4 linked regions of the Neodiprion lecontei genome follow. The main gene of each other region encodes a partner of the protein of the gene in region 2 in a complex. Links are inferred from orthologs where the notes say so. Each region holds a gene or a part of one and is shown on either strand. Other genes may lie near its edges.

Region 1 (5,721 bases), on a different chromosome or scaffold from region 2:
TGTATTGGAGATACACGTCGACACCCAGTAATATCAGGCCATTATTGAGAAAGAAATTAGTTACTGATGACCTGACTGAATTATATGTTCACAGCCTTAACACATCGCAGCTCAATTATTTGCGGTGGTTTTTTTCCCTCATATTTTTTTCTTCTCAAAATCTTGCATATGTCATTATTTGATAACGACAATAGTTCACTATGGTGAAAAAAACTCATCATCTTGGATACAATTACAAATGATTACAAGCATTTTAAACGTTATAATGTTGTGTGTATTGTATAATATCGTTATCAACACTGTTAAGACGTTTCTATAACAATTACCCACTTTATTGTAAATGTGCTACACTTAAAATCTGCGTAATTTGATTATTATTAAAGAGGATGATGATAATAGGAACGCCACTTACATAAGGCTAAAGTTATTTTTACAGTGTTGCCTTCAACTTATACTTATTAAGGGCTATAAGCACATGACGTACTTTGATAAATAACAACTTTTGAAGGAGAATTTGAGTGTATTTTTCAGTTTATGATCACACACGCACGGTATTACATACAAAATTCATACAGCCTTTATATTATGTCACAACTTTGTATTCTTTCCCATGTCTGATGGACATTTTTTTTACCTCGGATGCCAAAAATCACGGTACGATTTTACTCTGCAGCTTTTTCATATTGCATTTGAGTTGTTATTAGGTATCTAAACTCTATGAGTAGTAGAACGTCAAACATAATTAAAAAATACTCATTCCGAGACAATCAAAAAAAAATCTTTTTCTTTACTCTCACGTATTAATTTCATGATTATTAACTTATTTGGAAATAAGAGATTGTTACGTTCTTCAATTAATAAAAGAACCGTTAAATGAGAAAGAAGATATATGTAGTAGAATTTTATGCTATCTTATGTTACTTCACTTCCTTAACGTATGCTTCTAATTCTGCATCCAACTCTTCTGCAGTTGGAGTTTTGGCTGGCGTCCGTCCACCTCCTCTAGTTCCACCACGTCGACCACCGGTTCCACGACCTAATGAAAACAAACATCCATCCAATTAGACGTAATAAACTCGCAAGTGGGTAAGTATTAATGATATAAAAAATATTCGCTACACTAACATTACGGGCTCTTCTGGGAAACTTAAATTCTAATACATCAACTATTTTGAGATAATTGGTAGACGAGTAACAAGTAAACAGTAAAGTACCTCGGTTGGAACTAGCTCCACGAGCTCCTCTGAAGCGCGGTTGGGCTCTTTGTACGAAGCTACCACCACTGAGTCTACTTCCTCGGATAGATGAGGTTACTGGAAGTTCTGAAGTTGCTACTTGAATATTCATCTCTCGACCTGTTGACCGAATAGTCAGTATTAAGTAGTTATTTTGCGTAGCATGGGCGTGAACTGAGTGTTGTTCGGTAAGACAGATGTTATCAGCACAGACGATTCGATGGTCGTCGACATACCGAAAGTATGACGTGCCACAAACGTTAGATGGACCGAGTAGCAATTTACACTCGAGCTCCATACGATATTTTTTACAGTGCAACATGAAAATTTTTTATACTGCAGTTCTGAAGTCAGCAGTGTAAAGTACCATTCTACAGTTTGAAAACAGTCCTCAAAATGCGAATTTTTCATGCATGTGTCATAAAAACTGTATTAATACTTTACTACAAAGAATTTATCCTCCACTATTACTTTTGCATTAATGAAAATCGCACAATATTTTGACTGTATAGTAATTGAACTTGAAATATTAAGAGGAAAAAAAAAACTTACCATCAAGAGGCACGCCATTGTACTGTTTCATTGCTTTAATGGCATCTGCTCTTCTTTCAAATATAACATCTGCTGAGCCAAGCGATCGACCAGATCTGTCATAGTGTACAGCAGCTGATTTCAATGGGCCAAACTCACTGAATAATTCCTAGTTGTCATTTAAGATGAAAAAAAATTCAATTAATTATTAAAGTACTGTCAAAAAATTTCGTTTACATGTTTTCAACTAGAGATCTACTTAAAAGTTATTTGAATTTTCAGAAAACTTGAACTCCCAAATTAAGTATTAGAATTAGGTTTTAATGAATATCACCATCTATAAAATTAGAGACATGTTCTTGATAAGAAACTAAAAGTTGTTGAATAGACTGGAAAATATTAGATATACATTGCATTAATATTTTACCTGAATATCTGAATCGGACACCCCAAAATCTAAATTTGAAACAAGTAGTTTGGTTGTGCCTGTACCACCAACTGCACCTCGTCCAACTTTCTTCACTCCATCAAACATGTCATGTTTCCAAGCACTGTTCACATCTCCCTAAAATTAACACACAATCCAATCTTATTATGATGAACGAGAGGTTCAATAGTCTTAAATTAAACAAAGTTCGAATATATTCAATTCATTCTAAATAGACCTTCACGAGACTTGTGTGTTTCTGTGTGTTATCAGGTAAAACAGAACAAGTTCATACATATAATTTAACAGTTGAACATACATACTTATTGAAGCTTATGAATATCATTTACTTTACTTGTTCTTTACAATTACTCGTATATTTTTTAACACAAAAAACAGAAAACTATGTAATCGTGATGTTTATTCAACTGGGTGAAAACATTCCGACTGACAAATTCATCGTAGTAGCATTTATCAACTCATCTTGTGGAATTCTTTTTGATGTAAACAAAAATATATTGTGGATAATAGTGGTATCTTAAAAGAGAAACAAAAAAATTAAAAGAAGTTTAGAAGTACACAAGTGAACGAGGTCAAACTACAACCATCTGTAAAATAACTGGTTAAAGTAAACTATTTGCATTTTAAACATATATAATAGATTGTTCATGTTTGACTGTGAATGAATATTTGTAGAATTTTACAAAAAAAAAAAACCATTACTGTATGCTTCTTTTTAGACTACCCAAAAACAAATGGGAAACCAATATAGACACTGCAGTATCAAGATTATTTTATTCGTATTATTCACAAACGATCGAATTATGCCAATGAAGTAATACAAGAAAATTACACCGTGGGAGAACTATCAAAAAGTGAAACGCATTTTCTAGCTGAAAAGGTCAAACGTGAAAATTTTATTGATACCACGTTTAATCAGGCGCGCTCATTAAAATGGCGCAATTTAGAATTTTTTGGTGTTGGGAGTGTAGCGTTCCTGCATTTTGCAGTTCCTAATTTTGTTTTTAATAACGTAATTGTAATTTTGGAAGCGATGAATGAAGTACGGAAAAGTGAAATTCAAAAAAGAAATAAAACAAATTGACGTGATATAATATCCGCAATAAGAACACAACCGCATGTGTGCAGTTCCGAAATTAGCGGTCATATATGCATCGATACACACAGGCGAATGATGCCCGATGAGTGTTTGTAGAAAAAAGCAACTTCGTCTCGGATATAAATTTATGAAAAACTTGGGATATCTGGAATGATCTGAGTATGAGCATGGAAAATTAATAATTACCCGGGTGTATGGAACGGCTGAGCGGCCAATTCCTCCTCGGCTTCGGCCGCGCATCACTCCACCGCCGGCTCGCGACGCACCTCGGATACCACGTCTCGGCGAAGCTGTTCCGCGTCCACGACGTCCGCTGCCCCGGGTTCTTCCACCTTTGTTCTGCTTGATAATGTCATCCAGACTCATTTCTATTTTGTCTACCATCTTCATTTGTACGTAATAAATTCTTTGCTTTAACAGTGGACTCGTACGCACAAAACCAACCTCACCCCGTTATGTCAAAGATGGCGATCAAGACCGCGAAGAGTGTCGAAAACTACTACGAGCTTTTACGAGCGACGCGTCTACACAACTGCAGGGACGTTCGTAAACTGATCAACCGTAGACGTCCGCCCGGCCTTTTACCAGATTGGTTAGCTTTCTAACTCTGCCGCTAGAGGGCCAGGTATGCCCCCCCACTCCTCTATAAATATTTTTCGTAAAATAAAAATATAATAATGTGTTTTAGTTCCGAATAACACTATCAAAATTTGCGGAATTTTTCATTTGCGTTAACTGAAGGTATATAAATACTGATAGCCTTGTGGGAATTTTTGTAATCGAAAATGAACGAGATTAATTTATCGTCAAGTAACGCCATCTGCGCTCTTCCCTGCATGCGCAACTGAAGCCGGCAAGCTGTCGGTACGTAAAGGCGACAAAAACCGAATGACTCACCGCGTGTACCCAAATAATGCAGAATTAAATGTTATTTTCCTATGGAATGACGAACAGGAACAGACTGAAATCCTTATATGACCCCGTAAGGACGCCGTATACTTTTCAACTATGCAAATTCATTTTAGCCAAATTCAGCAATTTTAATCCAACTCCATCAGATAGACAAAAATAATGTTATCTAAATAGATGCATGCACCATAAACATACACCTGGTTAACTGTTAACAGCGTTAAAAACCTTTTCTTGATACAAACGATAGGACAAATAGTCGAAAAAATTAATCAAAGGATGAAGATGTATAGTTATTCCTATATGCTGTACCTTATGTAATTTATGTAGATATGTTTAATACATAACTCATACTCAGCGCCGAATTTACCTATAGGGCCGATAGATTCGGACCTAGAACGGCATTTTTTAGGGGGCGGCAGAAATTGGGTCTGTAAATGCATTTTTGGAACGAAGTTCCTTAACACGGCTTGCGGGTTGGAGTTTCACTGCTCTAAAAAGTATCGCAAGTGATGAGACCGAGCAGTTTGCAGTCATTATTGCAAACTTATGAGGTTTGATTTTGAAAAGGTTCAACCTTGTGAATTTGAAGTTGCAGAGCGTAAATATTGATATTGGAACCGTCGTGGAATTATATCATTCGCTTACTGATTTCGCCCGAAGTATTAGAGATAACTTCGACCACTTTGAAGAGATGGTAAAGGCTACATCGACTGTTCAAGAATATGAAACGGAGAATAAGCGGATTAAGAAAAGAAAACTCAGAATAGATGAAAGCCCAAGTACTGAAAGTGGGCGAGATGACTTTCGGATAAATACATTTAACGTAATAGATGATAGTCTCAGTGCAGAATTGTAATGGCGCAGTTGGTATATGCAGAGCTTCATGAAAAATTCAGTTTTCTAGAACGGCTGAAGATATTATAAATTAAGGAAATAAGAGAATCTGCAGAAAAATTACTGGTAGCATTCAACGAGGATTTAGAAGATGGTATAGTGGAAGAATGTTTACACCTTCGCTTGCCCGACAACTGAAAAAGAATAGAAACGGAACGATTAGCACAATTATGGATCCCGTTTCTTTAGGTTGCCGAATTAAGCATGTTTTATTCCAATGCGGAAATCGTTCCAAAAATAACGGATTCTGGCCTCCGTACAAAAGTAATCCAATACGGCTGGGGTATACTATAAAACTATGGCTTTGTGTACACGAGACAGACATCATAGACAAGGCAAGTACAATGGACGCTAGATATAATACGTTATATGGCTCTGCCGCAGGGCCCGATGATCGGAAAATTGTCCGAAATGGCTAATTGGCAATCACGAGAGCCCTACACGGTGGGTGGTGACACACTGCAGCGCAGCGGGAGATGGGCCCAGCTGAAAAGTCGGCACCAGAAAGCTCAAGGTTTTACTATCATAAAAAATAATTGACCTTCCCCGAAGAACGTTTAATTTGTGTATGTTTCCGGTCACGTAAAGAGACTCCCCGCCGC
Region 2 (4,804 bases):
CATCATAGTAAAGATTGTTTTCTTTGCTTATAGGTTGCTTATTTGAGTCCAATTCGCATTGCTTGATAGCAACGTGACACAGACGCATAATTTTGTACATCAAAATTGCATCGTGATGTAAGTTAGGTCCAAGTATCATCAGCATTGGCAGTAAACGATCGTGTATGTCGTCCAATTTATAAAAAGGCAGTGGAGCTAGAGGGCTTTTCATTGGCGGCACTTTTCTACCAGGTAACTTTGGTGATATGATGCAGTATCTGGAAATCGATACTTGAATGTTATTCTGCATAAAAATTATACTGTCAATGGTATGTTACATTATATGCCGTGAATTTTTTTAGACGTGAATTTATTATATATATATTTATTATTTAGTATTCGGTGACAGCTGATGGCTCAGGACAGTTACCAAGAGTACAATGATCAAATTACGATCCACCAGCTCTGTTCGGAGCCATAAAATACTACCGGATTAGCCAATTTCAAATAGCTGTAATTCGCAAAACACAAATTTTCTATTAGAAGTAAAAACGTCTCAATCGCAGATTTTAATGAAAAATACATTGGTAGCCTATGGAGCAATAGTCCTGGGTCACCCTTGAAATAATATCTTAGTGCCAATGCACAAGTTGATTGACTTTAGTTTTGGGAAAAAGATTCATTCTGTAAGCTTTGAACTCACTTTCTGTAGGCTGGTTCGATGATTGACTGAATCATTCTGCAAAGTGCCAGTGCGATTGGTCGTTGATCAGTAAAGCAATGATCTGGTAGTCGTTTAAATAAATTCTGTGCTATGTCCCATGCACCGACTTCTAATAATGCTTGACAGAGTCCAAACTTTTGATTGGTAACGTACTTATCCTGCCAAATAAATTATTATTGGACACCTGTACCTAAAGTCCAAATTATACAAAAGAAGTTCAATATGATATTTAGTATGATAAATGATACAAACCTGTACGACATCTTTTTCCTCAGGGACTTCCTCCTTATCTTTAGTGGATATGACACTCATCTTTCTAACATATTCTTTAGCTTGTTTCATTGCCAATTCATGATCCTTAATTATATCCTTGTCGTCTGGCACAAGCCAGGGTAAAATATCGTCCAGTTTGATTACATGATGTTGCAACATCAATGCTGCAACTTTCTGTAAAGAAAATGGGGTTGCTGCTGTTGAAGAGCGATATTTAAAGCCTAGAACTTCGCAAAGTACTTGCTGGTCACTCATGTAAGAGCGAATGAGAGGAATAAATAAACTGTCGTCATCTGGCCGATTTTCAAATGTTTCCAGCAAAATATCAAGAACTCTGTTAGGGTCAAGATTAAAGTAACCTGAAATTAATATCAATATATTAATTAAACGTCACACACTTTGGCATGTAGTAGGAGCGAATAAGTTTTATCTCAAGTTTATCAAGTTTTTTCTTCGTTGCGAAATCTTGGAAAAGAAACAATGTCTTAAGAGTAGTCAAATACTCAGTGCCTATATCATACCAATGAGAGACTTGACAATCTCCAAGGTAGATGCAACTTCATTTTCTTGATATTCTTGATTTAATTCAACAATCAGTTTAGAATATCCTTCGCTCTCTTCGCGAAACAAATTGAATTTTCGCTGTTTGTAGCTGAAATAATAAATTGATATTACAGATTACTGCAAGCAGTTGATAGGTGGTAAGAATTTGAGGTAAAACAAAATTTATGTATACTAAATCTAGTGAGATGTAACAGATGATGTTCTTATCAAAAAATCATACGTACTAGAGTTTGGTTTTAACTTTGATGAACTTAGTTTGAAAATTGCGATTCTTCAACGTCCCAACATCTTGAAGAGTATCAATTTCCAGACGCTCTTTCAAGATTCTATCTGTGAGAAACTGAAAAAGAGAAATACTGATTAGTATGCCACACTAAGGAAATGACCTACATTCGTTTTTGTTGCTTGCAATCAAGTATTACCTTTTCCGATTCTTTGACAATGTAATACAAATTGTTTCTATCCTCATTATGCGCTTCAGCATCGATTAATGTAAATATGTCTACAACAGCTGATGGAATCGCACCATCAATATTCTGTAAAAAAAATATGTAATTTAACAATGATTTGAACAACTGCATAATCATTAAATGATCACAGTAATGAGTTTCTTTTTAATATAAAGTGTTTAAACTTGAATTAAAACATCAATAGTTTCGAGATATGTGAGCTATAAGGGCAAACGATTGATTTGCCTTACCATAAGTTCACCAAGTGTCGACACTACACTATCCTTTTTTACGTTTCCTCGGATTCCATTTGATATCAATTGGTATAAACCCTTTCTCCATTCTGAAATTATTGAAAGCATAAAAACAATGGTTGATTTTAATTTATTATGCAGAAAAAGGAAGCGCACAATCTGACTTTGTCTAGCGACTGAATCTATCATATCAGCATGCACTTAGTACACCCGCCAGCTGCACACGGTACAAATTGAAAACTTCAAACATTTACAAAATGATGTGACAGTTAATTGAAAACAAAATTCAAAAAAAGTTCTCTGCTAAAGAATAAGTTTGTTTGGAGGTAGTAAAGCAAAGTAAAGCTAAAAAGATATTCGCAAAGACAAAGTGAGGTGGTAGAGATCAGCTGTAAATGGGATATTGAAATACATTAATACCTGTTGTGTTCCCTTCCTTATATTTTTGCTTGATTAACTTGAGGCTGCAAACAGTTGGTAATTGACATTAACTCTTGAGAAGAGCGAGAAACAGGAGAGATAAGTTGGGTGGTTGCAACCATCATTTCACAGAGAAGGCAGGTAGGTATCAATTCAATATTAATCAAATGCGAGCGCGGCGCAATTTTGATAATCACTTACAAATCATTTTTTCCATGCTTATCCCATGATTTCCATAACTCGGAATTCCATATTTTACCAGCCATTTTAATATTAATTATACAAATTTTAGCTTACAAACATTACTATCAACATCGCAGGTTAACGGAGACCATTTTACAGGCTCGCGTGCGCGTTCATAAACTGGTTGAAAATCAGACCAGGGCATCTTATACCATTCTTCGAGAAACAAAATCCCTAGATGCTTACTAGGGAAGAAGCTAAAGTTCTTGCAGTTTTCACCCCATTACGCTATAACTTTTAGTATATTCTTTATTGTTCGTGTCGCAGTGTTTGGTTGTTATTTTATTAATCATTGAAGATTGGATTCATTGTATAACAAATTATTTATAAAATTTCCCAAAGGACACAAATATAATATTTGTCCAATTTCTTCGGCTCCTGGTGACGGAATATGCCCTTCTGAGTGGAAATCCTTGATTGTTTTCGGAACACAACCGGTTAGTGGCTCTTTTGAGTACTTCCATTTTATCGGAGAGGTAATGATAAATTTGTAGAAAATAAAATCTGAAAACATCGGCGACTGTGTTAAATAATAATTAATGCCGGCAGTGCCAAGTGCTTCTTAATACCCCAACAAATATATATTCAGTAATATTGTAGCTCGAAAATTAGATTATTCTGTGATCTTTCTACAGCACACGAGGTTAACCACTTTTTCGTTGTTTACATGGTTAGGTATAAGATGGCGAAATCTACGGGCGAAAAGAAAGGAAAAAGCGCGATGAATGAGGTCGTGACACGTGAATATACGGTCAATCTCCACAAACGATTGCATGGCGTCGGATTCAAGAAACGGGCACCTCGAGCTATCAAGGAAATAAGGAAGTTCGCCGAAAAACAAATGGGCACACCTGACGTTAGGATCGACACACGTCTTAACAAGCAGCTGTGGTCCAAGGGAATCAGGTATGCTGACTGAATAAACACAGTTGTCAGTTAAACTCCAGTTCACGCTTTACCCAATAAATAGATTTCGCAAAACGTAGCATGTCAAACGTATAGATAAGTTAACCCTACTGTGTAACTGTATGTCCACCACTTCTAACCCAGTGAGCATCACATTATGCTCCTCTGGCTGTTACAAGTAATCAATAAGGTTACAATATGTGAGATATGTGATAGCCGATGTGGATAAGTTTTGTTATTTAGTCTAATCACTTGACAGGATGAGGAGTCTTTTCGGCTCAAAAGTTCCCTTTTCGGACGGAAGTTAATACGCTTAGCTAGCCTCGTGTTTATTGACCGTTTCAATAATTTATGGAGACTCTTCCTAATTGATTTACAAACGGCAGTTGTGTCCTAGTTGATTTTAGATGGCAGTCTTTCACATCCCATTTAAATACAATTACAATTACTTCACAGTCTAGTTGGTGGACTCGTTGACATTGTAAAATTGAAACAAATACTGTTGTAATACCTGTACTCAAATTGTATTAAATATTTTTCATTCTTGCTTTCAGAAATGTCCCCTTCCGTGTTCGCGTCCGCCTTAGCAGGAGAAGGAACGACGACGAAGACTCTGCAAACAAATTGTACACACTAGTTACATACATCCCTGTTGCCACCTTCAAGGGACTCCAGACAGAAAATGTGGATGCTAGTCAAGAATAATTTATTCTTGAGCAATAAATAATTTTGGCTAATATCACCACAGTTTTTGTTCACATATCATTGCCCTATCCTTGACGCTATGATCCCATCTTTTTCATTCAAAGTGTTCTGGATCATCATTGATTATTCTAATTTTTAAATGACACACTCTTTAGCAATCACAATCGAGCCAAGTTATTAATTACTCAAGGCGGTTTTCAAATCGTATTGACAAACTACTAAAAATTAGAACTACATTTCGATCGATCAATTAGAGAATCAACAACTTTGAAATTATTAACCAGAGT
Region 3 (3,345 bases), on a different chromosome or scaffold from region 2:
CATTGTTCTTCTTTATGAATAACACAAAATCGTACAGTCTTCTTCCTTTTGTCCCTGATATGGACTGACTTTTTATTATACAGGCACATTCGGATGGTCCATTATTTCATCCTATTGTTACAACAATAAGTTGTGGCTCGCACACTCTCCTGGATTTTTATAAGCGGAATGAGACTGACCACGTAGTAAGTATCTGTAAAAGAAATATTGATAAGGGTGAGAAACTACGAGCTTTTTGACAGTTATTCCTGAATTCTTTATTCGTAGGAAGTTTCTAATCTGGAGTTTACCTTGCTACTTGAGAGAAGAAGTTTACTTATTTTAGAAAACGACCTGTACCACAAGTACCTGCATTCAATTTCTGAGAGGCATTGTGATACGATTTCAAGGAAGAACATTATGAATCTAGATCTCTGTGCTGTGAAATATCAAGAGAATGAAGTGATTGACAGAGGGACAAGATTATCCCTGACTATCAGGCACGTTCCAAAGACCAGCAAGCTCAAATTGAAACTAGGAAGATGATTTTGACGATCTTATTTTGCTCAAATTCATCTCTCAATTACTTTCCTACAATAATCTATTGTTGCAAAACGCTACGGGGGAAAATTTGAAACATTTACCAGGCTGCAGCCTTTGGAGACATACACACATCCACATCCTCGTAATTCTCAAGACTGACGTCCATTATTTCTTCATCAGACTCATCCAACATTCCTTGTAGCGAATGAATCGACGATATTAGCACATGGAATTGTTTTCTTCGCATTTCTAGCTTATGCTCTAATTGTTCAGATTTTTCCTGTAAGAATAAAATAGTTGTTGCCGTACTTTTTCCCAAGAGACACACTTTAATCGGCTAATTGTCGACATAAAAATGAACGATTTAAAACTATTTCTAAGATAGGATAAAAAATTTGTCCATAAAATACCTTCAAGGTTCCCAACTCTTTACGCAAAGTGGCGAGCTTCACATCTGTTTCAAGTCTATCAGGCTGTTCGCTGATCACTTTGGCAAGAACGTCATACTCGATTCTATTTTTACGAACACGTTTAGCATCTTGTAGCTCGACCTTAGTTTTCTCAATTTCTTTTTTAGCCTCTTCAATTTGAATACCAATATCCTTTGACATCCTTTCATAATTCTTTAACTCCTCTTGACTCATATTTGCTACGAGACGAGATTTTTTTTGTGCGAATTCACACTGGGCTAGCTGTGACAGCATTCTTTCATGCACAGTATTGTCTGGATCCGGAGTATTTGCCCATTTTAAAAACGACTTCAACAAAACGTTTATCCGTCTATCATCGCCTGTTCCATCTCCATCTATGAGTAGACGACGTCGTATAACTTCCTCTAAAAAATCGTGCAATTAAAAACGTTTAACTAATGTTGTAGTATAATCACAAAGCTAATTTTTTGTATAAAAACACAAAATGAGGTTATGTCTCACTTTCCGGCGCTTATACCGTGAAACTGACATAAATGTCGCATTTACAATTTGATTTTGAATTATATTTGGCTATTTACCATCTGACATATTCGATGATGTAGTGACGTCGGGTTCTTGAAGTTTAAAAATTTTATTCAAGGTGTAAACATCAGCTAGGTCGAACTTCAATTTGCGTTGAAAAGAACCGAATTTTTTCTTCGTTCAACCTCAATTAGAATAAGCTACTACAAACACACGGTATCGTAATTTTAGTCGGTAAAGAAAGAGTCAACAATTACCACAAGTCAGTCGCCATTTTATTTACAACGTAACGTGACTTGCGCACTGATTCTATTCGATCATCGACTCCAGGGAAATTATCGCATGTGCACGAGATGAAAAATTGTAAATTTCTTATAAAGAATCGATTATAAATCAATTGTTCCACATTTGTGAAGCCAAAGCTCGTGACATATCAATTGTCCCACTTTAGCAATAATCGCTATCTGTCGCAACTTTAATATATAATGTAGGATTATATTATACGCTCCCTGATCGACTCTTCCTTGTACTTCCGGCAGATTTAATGAAGGCTACAATGGCGGTTGCATTTCCGATTTCCCCATGAGATGGAAACTGCTTGAAGATGGCGACGGTGACAGCTCTCCCAGCGTCCCATCACCTAATTCAAGTAGTGAACGAGTCGAATTTGAGTAAAATCGAGAGGTGAGTGCGACCAGACGATTGTCACATATGTTGATGGAAATATTCGCATCGTTAAATTGACAGAGTAATTTAACCTCGACGATTTTTGCTCCGTCGTAGGACGAGCGGGTTGCACTTCGCTATGTTGAATGTATTGATCTGTCCGCAGCTTCCTGAACGACACCGCCTATAGAGAAGCCATAGAGAATTCTTCCAATTATAACACAAGACTATGCAGAGAACGAAGACTGCGAATGCCCTTCCTCGACTCGCAAACTGGTAAGTAGATGGAACCAGTTGATTACTTCCTGTGATTATTGTCATTAGTTACTGGATATCTTGACATTCCCGTCATTCCTGTCTTGGTTAATCAATGGCTATTGATAAACGAGTTTTTTCTAACCACAGGAGTCGCCCAAAATCACTCGGCTCTCTTCATGTCGGCTCGAGAACGAATCCCAGGCTTGATGCATGGTCAGGTATATACTTACCCGAGCAAACGATGGCGGAAAAAGCGGCGACAGTATCTGATGCACTATCTTCACCCAAAACGAGGCACCCGAGGGGATATAGATGACGGAGTCGAAGGAGCCGACGGAATTGTTGCGGGACTAAATGATGACAGCAAAGATTCTGTTGCTCTCAAAGGTTCGTCCTAATCAATATCTACTTTCCATGTTATCACATACATCTGATTGGCATCTCCTTCCGAGTGGGCGTGCAATAATTGTTGATACAATTTCCGGTCCAATTGATTCTCGTCGCTCGTTAGATTTGCCAATTCACTACCCTCAATGCTTAAAATATATTTTAAGCCCTACTGAAATTACTTGTTACGTATGTTTCCGCAAACTCTCTTGTAGTCTTGATGTTCAACGATTATTAAGAAAAAATTATTTCAGATGAACATAGTAAGGATGCTTGGTACTATGATGAGCAAGACATGCTGGACATGGATGCCTTCGACGAACCCGATCCAGACAGTGACTATGACTACGAAGAAAGTTATAGTAGTAAAAGACGGAGAAGAAGGCCCCGAGGTGGAGCCCACCATCCTATCAGGGGACATCCACCCACCGTGGACAGTCCTGGGGCCAAAAGAACAAAGGTGAGTTTAATATACAATGTATTGCTTCCATCAGTTTTTTATCGAACTTATTCATACTGGAAAGATACTTCATGGATTAAACAGTTTAGATATATTGAA
Region 4 (4,637 bases), on a different chromosome or scaffold from region 2:
TCGTAACGACTCATGCTGATGAAAACCCGTTATTTCGCAATTTTGCAACCTCTGTGAGGTAGGCTCCCCATTTTTGAAAAAAAAAAATAAAAATTTTCGAGTGTTCTTGAATCTTCTCAAAGAGTTCTAAAGTTCCGGATAATTTTCAAAAATAGTTCCGGTCAATTAGGGTTCAAAAAATTAATTTCAAAAAATGGGGTGCCAACTTCGCTGATTACTTCGTTTTCGAAAAAATAAGTTTTTGCTGCGAGTTCTGGATGGTATTCGAATTGTTCTACAGTTCTATGCTTATATGAGAAATAGTTCTGGTTATTTACCACTAATAAAATAGAAAATAAAAAATAACAAAAATGCTAGCACTCCGTTATTTAAAACCAGTCATTTTTTTTTCAGAATTCTAGAGTTTCAGCCGATTCAAATTTTTTTATTTTGTTTCGTTACCGAGATATTGAACAAAATATCCACGCGCATTACTTACAGCGAAAATTAATTTTAACCATTCCCAAAGTTCCGATGAGAGTTTCGCATAGACGAGCGTGAGTTCCGTCAATCATTCGAATGAATTTTTCCGATTCAATCAGAATTCGAAGAGTTCTCGAGCTATTTCTGAAATCTTCTTAGAACTCGAAAAAATTGCCGTACTTTAATTGTGGGGTGCTAGCATTGTTGTTATTTTTTTTATTGTTTATTATTTTCTTACAATTGGTGGTAAACAACCAGAAGTATTTCTCATATGGGTATAGAACTGTAGAACTATTTGAGCACTATCCAGAACTCGTAAAAACGAAAACTTACTTTTTCCAAAATGGGGTACCAACTTCACAGAGATAATTTCGCAGCTGTTTGAAATTCAGCAAACCGTAATAAAATAGTGATTATTTCTCAACGTTTCGTTACAATAACGTTGCTAACTTCAATCTCGTAGATTTTATAACCTACCCTGCTACCGACAAACATCATATTTCGTAACAGACAGATCACAAGATATCTATTCAATTCGAAGCGTCGAAACACCCACCCTGGAAATCTTTGCTTCAACGTCGTCATGTTGCTTTTAGTACGGACACGGCCTGTCTGCTGTAAATGATCCGCTACGATATATACGACTTGTGAAATACGTATTCTTTCTGCTGTAGGAAACTATGCGCATATTTGGAATCTGCTCAGCAAAATCTCGATGTTTGCATGTATCTATTCAGCTGTGAGGATCTAGCAGCAGCGATAGCCAAGGTGTTTTGTCGCGGAGTAGTTGTCAGAATTATCGTCGATGGAGGAATGGCGGAAAATTCCGCCTGTGAGCGTCGTATAAGAGATTTTCGAGAACGAGGTAAGATTTTACTTAGTTCAAAGCAATTCAGGCTCTTCAAATCGCACGCGTATCATTATCTAAATCACTCCCAAACAATTTGAATAACAGGATTTCTCAGAAAGTAAGGCGATTCGTCACCATTTCGCGTAGAATTTCTAAGTCAACTTTTAGTATTTGCAATTGATACGGTAAAATTCACAATTAATTTACTCGAAACAACGTTTTTCGACACTCTTCACGTGATATCTTGATTCGAAATAGTTTGTACGATATTGATGAAATTTCGTAGATATTCTATGCCGTTAGGTACACAGTTTCTCAAGAACTATTCACGTCCGAATTAGACTCTGTAATTTAAAAATTAATCAAGTACCGAAAATCGAAGAAAATTCGAACAACGTACTGAAAAAAGAATCTGTCGTGACGAAATCAGGGTTTTAAGTTTCAAGTGCAATTACAAGTGCGTTGAACGTGAAAACATGTGTTTTTTGAGTTGATTAATGCATGTCGTTTAACAACGTGAAATTTACAGGGACCTCGAGAATTTCGTTTATACCCGCTAAAATCACACAATTATAGACCGTTTTTCAAATTTCAAATCTCAAAGTGGAAGCAAAGCTAGTATTTCTCACCTGTATAATCAATGAGTATTTGTGAAATTCTTCATGTAAATAGCAGCTATACAAAGTTGAATCAAAAATCAAAATAAAGGTCAAGCGAATGATATTTAATCGTTTCTTGTATAACCTCATCGCCAGGTATTCGAGTGAGGATGAAGAAATCGGAATACTTGATGCATCACAAGTTTGCGATAATTGATAGGAAGCTGATTTTGACGGGGAGTACAAATTGGACGATGCAAGCGATGCACGGAAACTGGGACAACGTCATAGTTTCGAATCAACTCGCCCTAGTCAAGCCGTTCATTGCGGAATTCGACAGAATGTGGATTTTGCTCACCACAGGCGAAGACTGATGAATATAAACTCATTTGGTTCAAACGTATACCGCAACGAAGTATGGAATAATTTGAAAAAACACTTTGATGAATATGTTTAAACAATTCTTTTACACCACTGGTTCCTAGTCGTTTTGAGACTATATTCCCTTCTGGGAACGAAGCCGCCGTTTACGATTGATGGACCGCTTTAATCTGAAGTGCATTACGCGTTTGAATACACCGAGTAGCTATTGACGATAATAAATTAGTAATATTCAGGAAATATTTCGAGGGAGGTTATTTAAACGTATTTCGATTCCGATTCGATACTCATAGAAATAATTGTAAGTGAAATGTTGTTCAAGACATTAATATACATAGACTGTGGAGAGTCAGTGCGAGGGATTATGAAAATTGAAAGAAGAGCATGGGCGTACGAAATGCATAGATTTACCAATCAATTGGCAATTTCCTGACTCGAAATACAATTCTTTGTATTTCTGCGACAAAATCTACCAAACTATCAAATATTGCGGTACATACCCATGCAGCCTAGCACAGAAGTAGGGTCTTCGTCCGAACTCGATACAGATATGGCGATGACGCCTTTTTCAGTATTCACGAGGAATCCAGAATCGTAATTTATCGTCTGAATGATGCTTCTGAGGTACGGTCGTGATGGAGCTTTAATGCATGCGTCTGCGCTGTGACGCATGAGGATGCCGTGACGTGCGGCTTTATGCGTTGACCTTTTCATCTGAAAAATACCCCTGACCTTCAGTATAACTAGTTGAATTAATTAGCTGTTAACCTATGTCACCGCGCTGATTTGGCACACATGCACAATCTGAACTTGTATAACACAGAACTCAGTGCAAAGTTTGAGTATTGTAATTGAATAGTCTTCCAATAGAGAAATACTCACGAAGAAGTCGTCAATATTTAGCCGTTGAAAAAAATCAGCATTGCGTAAGTGAATTTTTTTAACTGTACAGCTTGTGTTCGTAAAATTTTTTAGCTGTACTCGTGTACTTTGAAAATGTTCGGCCATCGAATGTGAGGTAAATATATCCAACACCTGAATAAGATCGAAATATCTATCGATTGTTTGAGCGAAATGCTGTATTTTTTAAGACTAATTAATTTTCTCAATTAATTATTTTAACGCTATTAACTTTCATTAAGTTTATTATTCTTATTACGATTTCTTGACGTTCTCTTTCGAGCAAATTTTCCAGTGTAGAATAAGAATGAAACTTCCATGATTTTCAACATGCTGTGTGTATACAAGATCCAAACGTCGAATCATTGTTATTAAACAGTATGATGAATAAAAACTTGTGCAATACATTTTTTTTTTCAAATCCCAACTCAACATTTTTCCAGCAATTGTTTTACAATACCTCTCAATAAAGTTTTTCTGTCAATGAAAAATCCAAAAATCCTTCACTCATTCAAACATAACATAAATCCGATGTTACAAAATATCATAGTTATTTAATTACACATCGTAACATTCTCCATCTTTTTCTTTAATGTACATGCTATAATTTCTCCGAGTCTATATTATTAGAAAAACGAACTGCGTATGATTTATTTCGAAACATATTGGTCCAGGCATACATTCCCAACTATTATACTGGCAGATTCTTTGAAATTGAATGAATATCCCAACAAATGAAAACTTCATTGAGTCTGCATTGTATTTTCAAACACATAAACGACTTTCAAAAATATTACGTAGAATTGAGACTCCATGAATAATTCAGAGACGGAAACGAAAACCGGTAATTAAACACCGACGATGAGCTTTCTTCCTTGACTCAAATACCCTTTTGTGGGAGTTGCCATGACGATTGTGACATCATCCCCAGTAAGCGATCCTCAATTTCACCGTATCGCAGAACTCACTCACATTGCTTGCAAGCACGATGTATGTTCAACTTATGCTAATACGGATTATTCAGATCGCGTTGCCTCGCAATTTGTCTTCGTTTCTTAGTAGACGCAAGTATCAGGCATGCATACGTATACACAGACGATAAATCGAAATGTATCTATCTTTGCCTTGACTATGCTTCAAAAATAGATGGACACAATAAATCTCGTCTCCAAGAATTGTTATAACTATAAGTTACTGCCGAGTAGTTTCACTTACGAGATTGGCGCGATATCTAGCGGTAACCGCTAGAGCTAGAATACCGTTCGAGTATTTCTTACTTCGCATAGTATTTTGAATCCCATTCTCGTGAAGTTTCTACCACTCAGACGGTCAGATATTTACAGATCGTCTATTTTATCCTCATAATTGTCGAATTGTATAATTCGAAGTGGTAGGAAAGAATATCGCTAGTTTACATTTTCAGTTTATGAATTACCATGTGTAAA

Evidence for each region.
Region 1: THO complex subunit 2 (region 2) and THO complex subunit 4 share a complex: the UniProt entries of both Homo sapiens proteins name them as parts of the transcription/export (TREX) complex. The link is inferred for Neodiprion lecontei from reciprocal best matches to the Homo sapiens genes THOC2 and ALYREF.
Region 3: THO complex subunit 2 (region 2) and THO complex subunit 7 homolog share a complex: the UniProt entries of both Homo sapiens proteins name them as parts of the transcription/export (TREX) complex. The link is inferred for Neodiprion lecontei from reciprocal best matches to the Homo sapiens genes THOC2 and THOC7.
Region 4: the proteins of THO complex subunit 2 (region 2) and THO complex subunit 1 are in contact, whole or in part, in a cryo-EM structure (PDB 7ZNL), measured with the Homo sapiens proteins. The link is inferred for Neodiprion lecontei from reciprocal best matches to the Homo sapiens genes THOC2 and THOC1. Residues at the interface, in NP_001075019.1 of Homo sapiens: Leu155, Phe156, Tyr157, Lys158, Gln160, Asn163, Leu164, Leu165, Arg166, Asn169, Glu170, Ala173, Lys174, Ile176, Ala177, Gly180, Gln181, Asn195, Lys197, Ser198, Leu199, Ile200, Gly201, Cys202, Phe203, Asn204, Leu205, Pro207, Asn208, Arg209; in NP_005122.2 of Homo sapiens: Asn134, Arg138, Asn141, Leu144, Arg145, Lys149, Thr153, Cys156, Gly157, Gln160, Leu161, Ala164, Arg165, Phe167, Gln242, Phe245, Arg246, Tyr297, Ala299, Lys300, Phe301, Arg319, His320, Leu323, Gln324, Ile327, Tyr331, Arg373, Phe374, Lys376.

Annotation. Positions count from the first base shown.
Region 1 is NC_060261.1:38,210,639-38,216,359, forward strand, and holds THO complex subunit 4, read right to left. Parts: upstream 3,870-5,721; 5' UTR 3,704-3,869; coding exon 3,500-3,703; intron 2,332-3,499; coding exon 2,194-2,331; intron 1,936-2,193; coding exon 1,788-1,935; intron 1,356-1,787; coding exon 1,215-1,355; intron 1,037-1,214; coding exon 918-1,036; 3' UTR 501-917; downstream 1-500. UniProt on the Homo sapiens protein: Functions as an mRNA export adapter; component of the transcription/export (TREX) complex which is thought to couple mRNA transcription, processing and nuclear export, and specifically associates with spliced mRNA and not with unspliced pre-mRNA.
Region 2 is NC_060265.1:3,424,446-3,429,249, forward strand, and holds the start of THO complex subunit 2, read right to left. Parts: upstream 3,023-4,804; 5' UTR 2,930-3,022; coding exon 2,865-2,929; intron 2,708-2,864; coding exon 2,664-2,707; intron 2,333-2,663; coding exon 2,241-2,332; intron 2,077-2,240; coding exon 1,963-2,076; intron 1,881-1,962; coding exon 1,765-1,880; intron 1,629-1,764; coding exon 1,498-1,628; intron 1,336-1,497; coding exon 956-1,335; intron 862-955; coding exon 683-861; intron 258-682; coding exon 1-257. Other genes in the region: 60S ribosomal protein L31, read left to right, coding at 3,589-3,812, 4,367-4,517. UniProt on the Homo sapiens protein: Component of the THO subcomplex of the TREX complex which is thought to couple mRNA transcription, processing and nuclear export, and which specifically associates with spliced mRNA and not with unspliced pre-mRNA.
Region 3 is NC_060266.1:24,841,145-24,844,489, forward strand, and holds THO complex subunit 7 homolog, read right to left. Parts: upstream 1,733-3,345; 5' UTR 1,542-1,732; coding exon 1,532-1,541; intron 1,358-1,531; coding exon 933-1,357; intron 879-932; exon of another isoform or gene 803-878; coding exon 620-802; 3' UTR 554-619; downstream 1-553. Other genes in the region: alpha-ketoglutarate-dependent dioxygenase alkB homolog 6, read left to right, coding at 84-185, 268-525; zinc finger protein ubi-d4 A, read left to right, coding at 2,080-2,159, 2,308-2,417, 2,547-2,786, 3,041-3,246. UniProt on the Homo sapiens protein: Component of the THO subcomplex of the TREX complex which is thought to couple mRNA transcription, processing and nuclear export, and which specifically associates with spliced mRNA and not with unspliced pre-mRNA.
Region 4 is NC_060261.1:27,610,283-27,614,919, reverse strand, and holds the start of THO complex subunit 1, read right to left. Parts: upstream 3,008-4,637; 5' UTR 2,793-3,007; exon of another isoform or gene 2,286-2,792; coding exon of another isoform or gene 2,068-2,285; intron 1,328-2,067; coding exon of another isoform or gene 1,137-1,327; intron 1-1,136. Other genes in the region: mitochondrial cardiolipin hydrolase, read left to right, coding at 1,137-1,327, 2,068-2,285. UniProt on the Homo sapiens protein: Component of the THO subcomplex of the TREX complex which is thought to couple mRNA transcription, processing and nuclear export, and which specifically associates with spliced mRNA and not with unspliced pre-mRNA.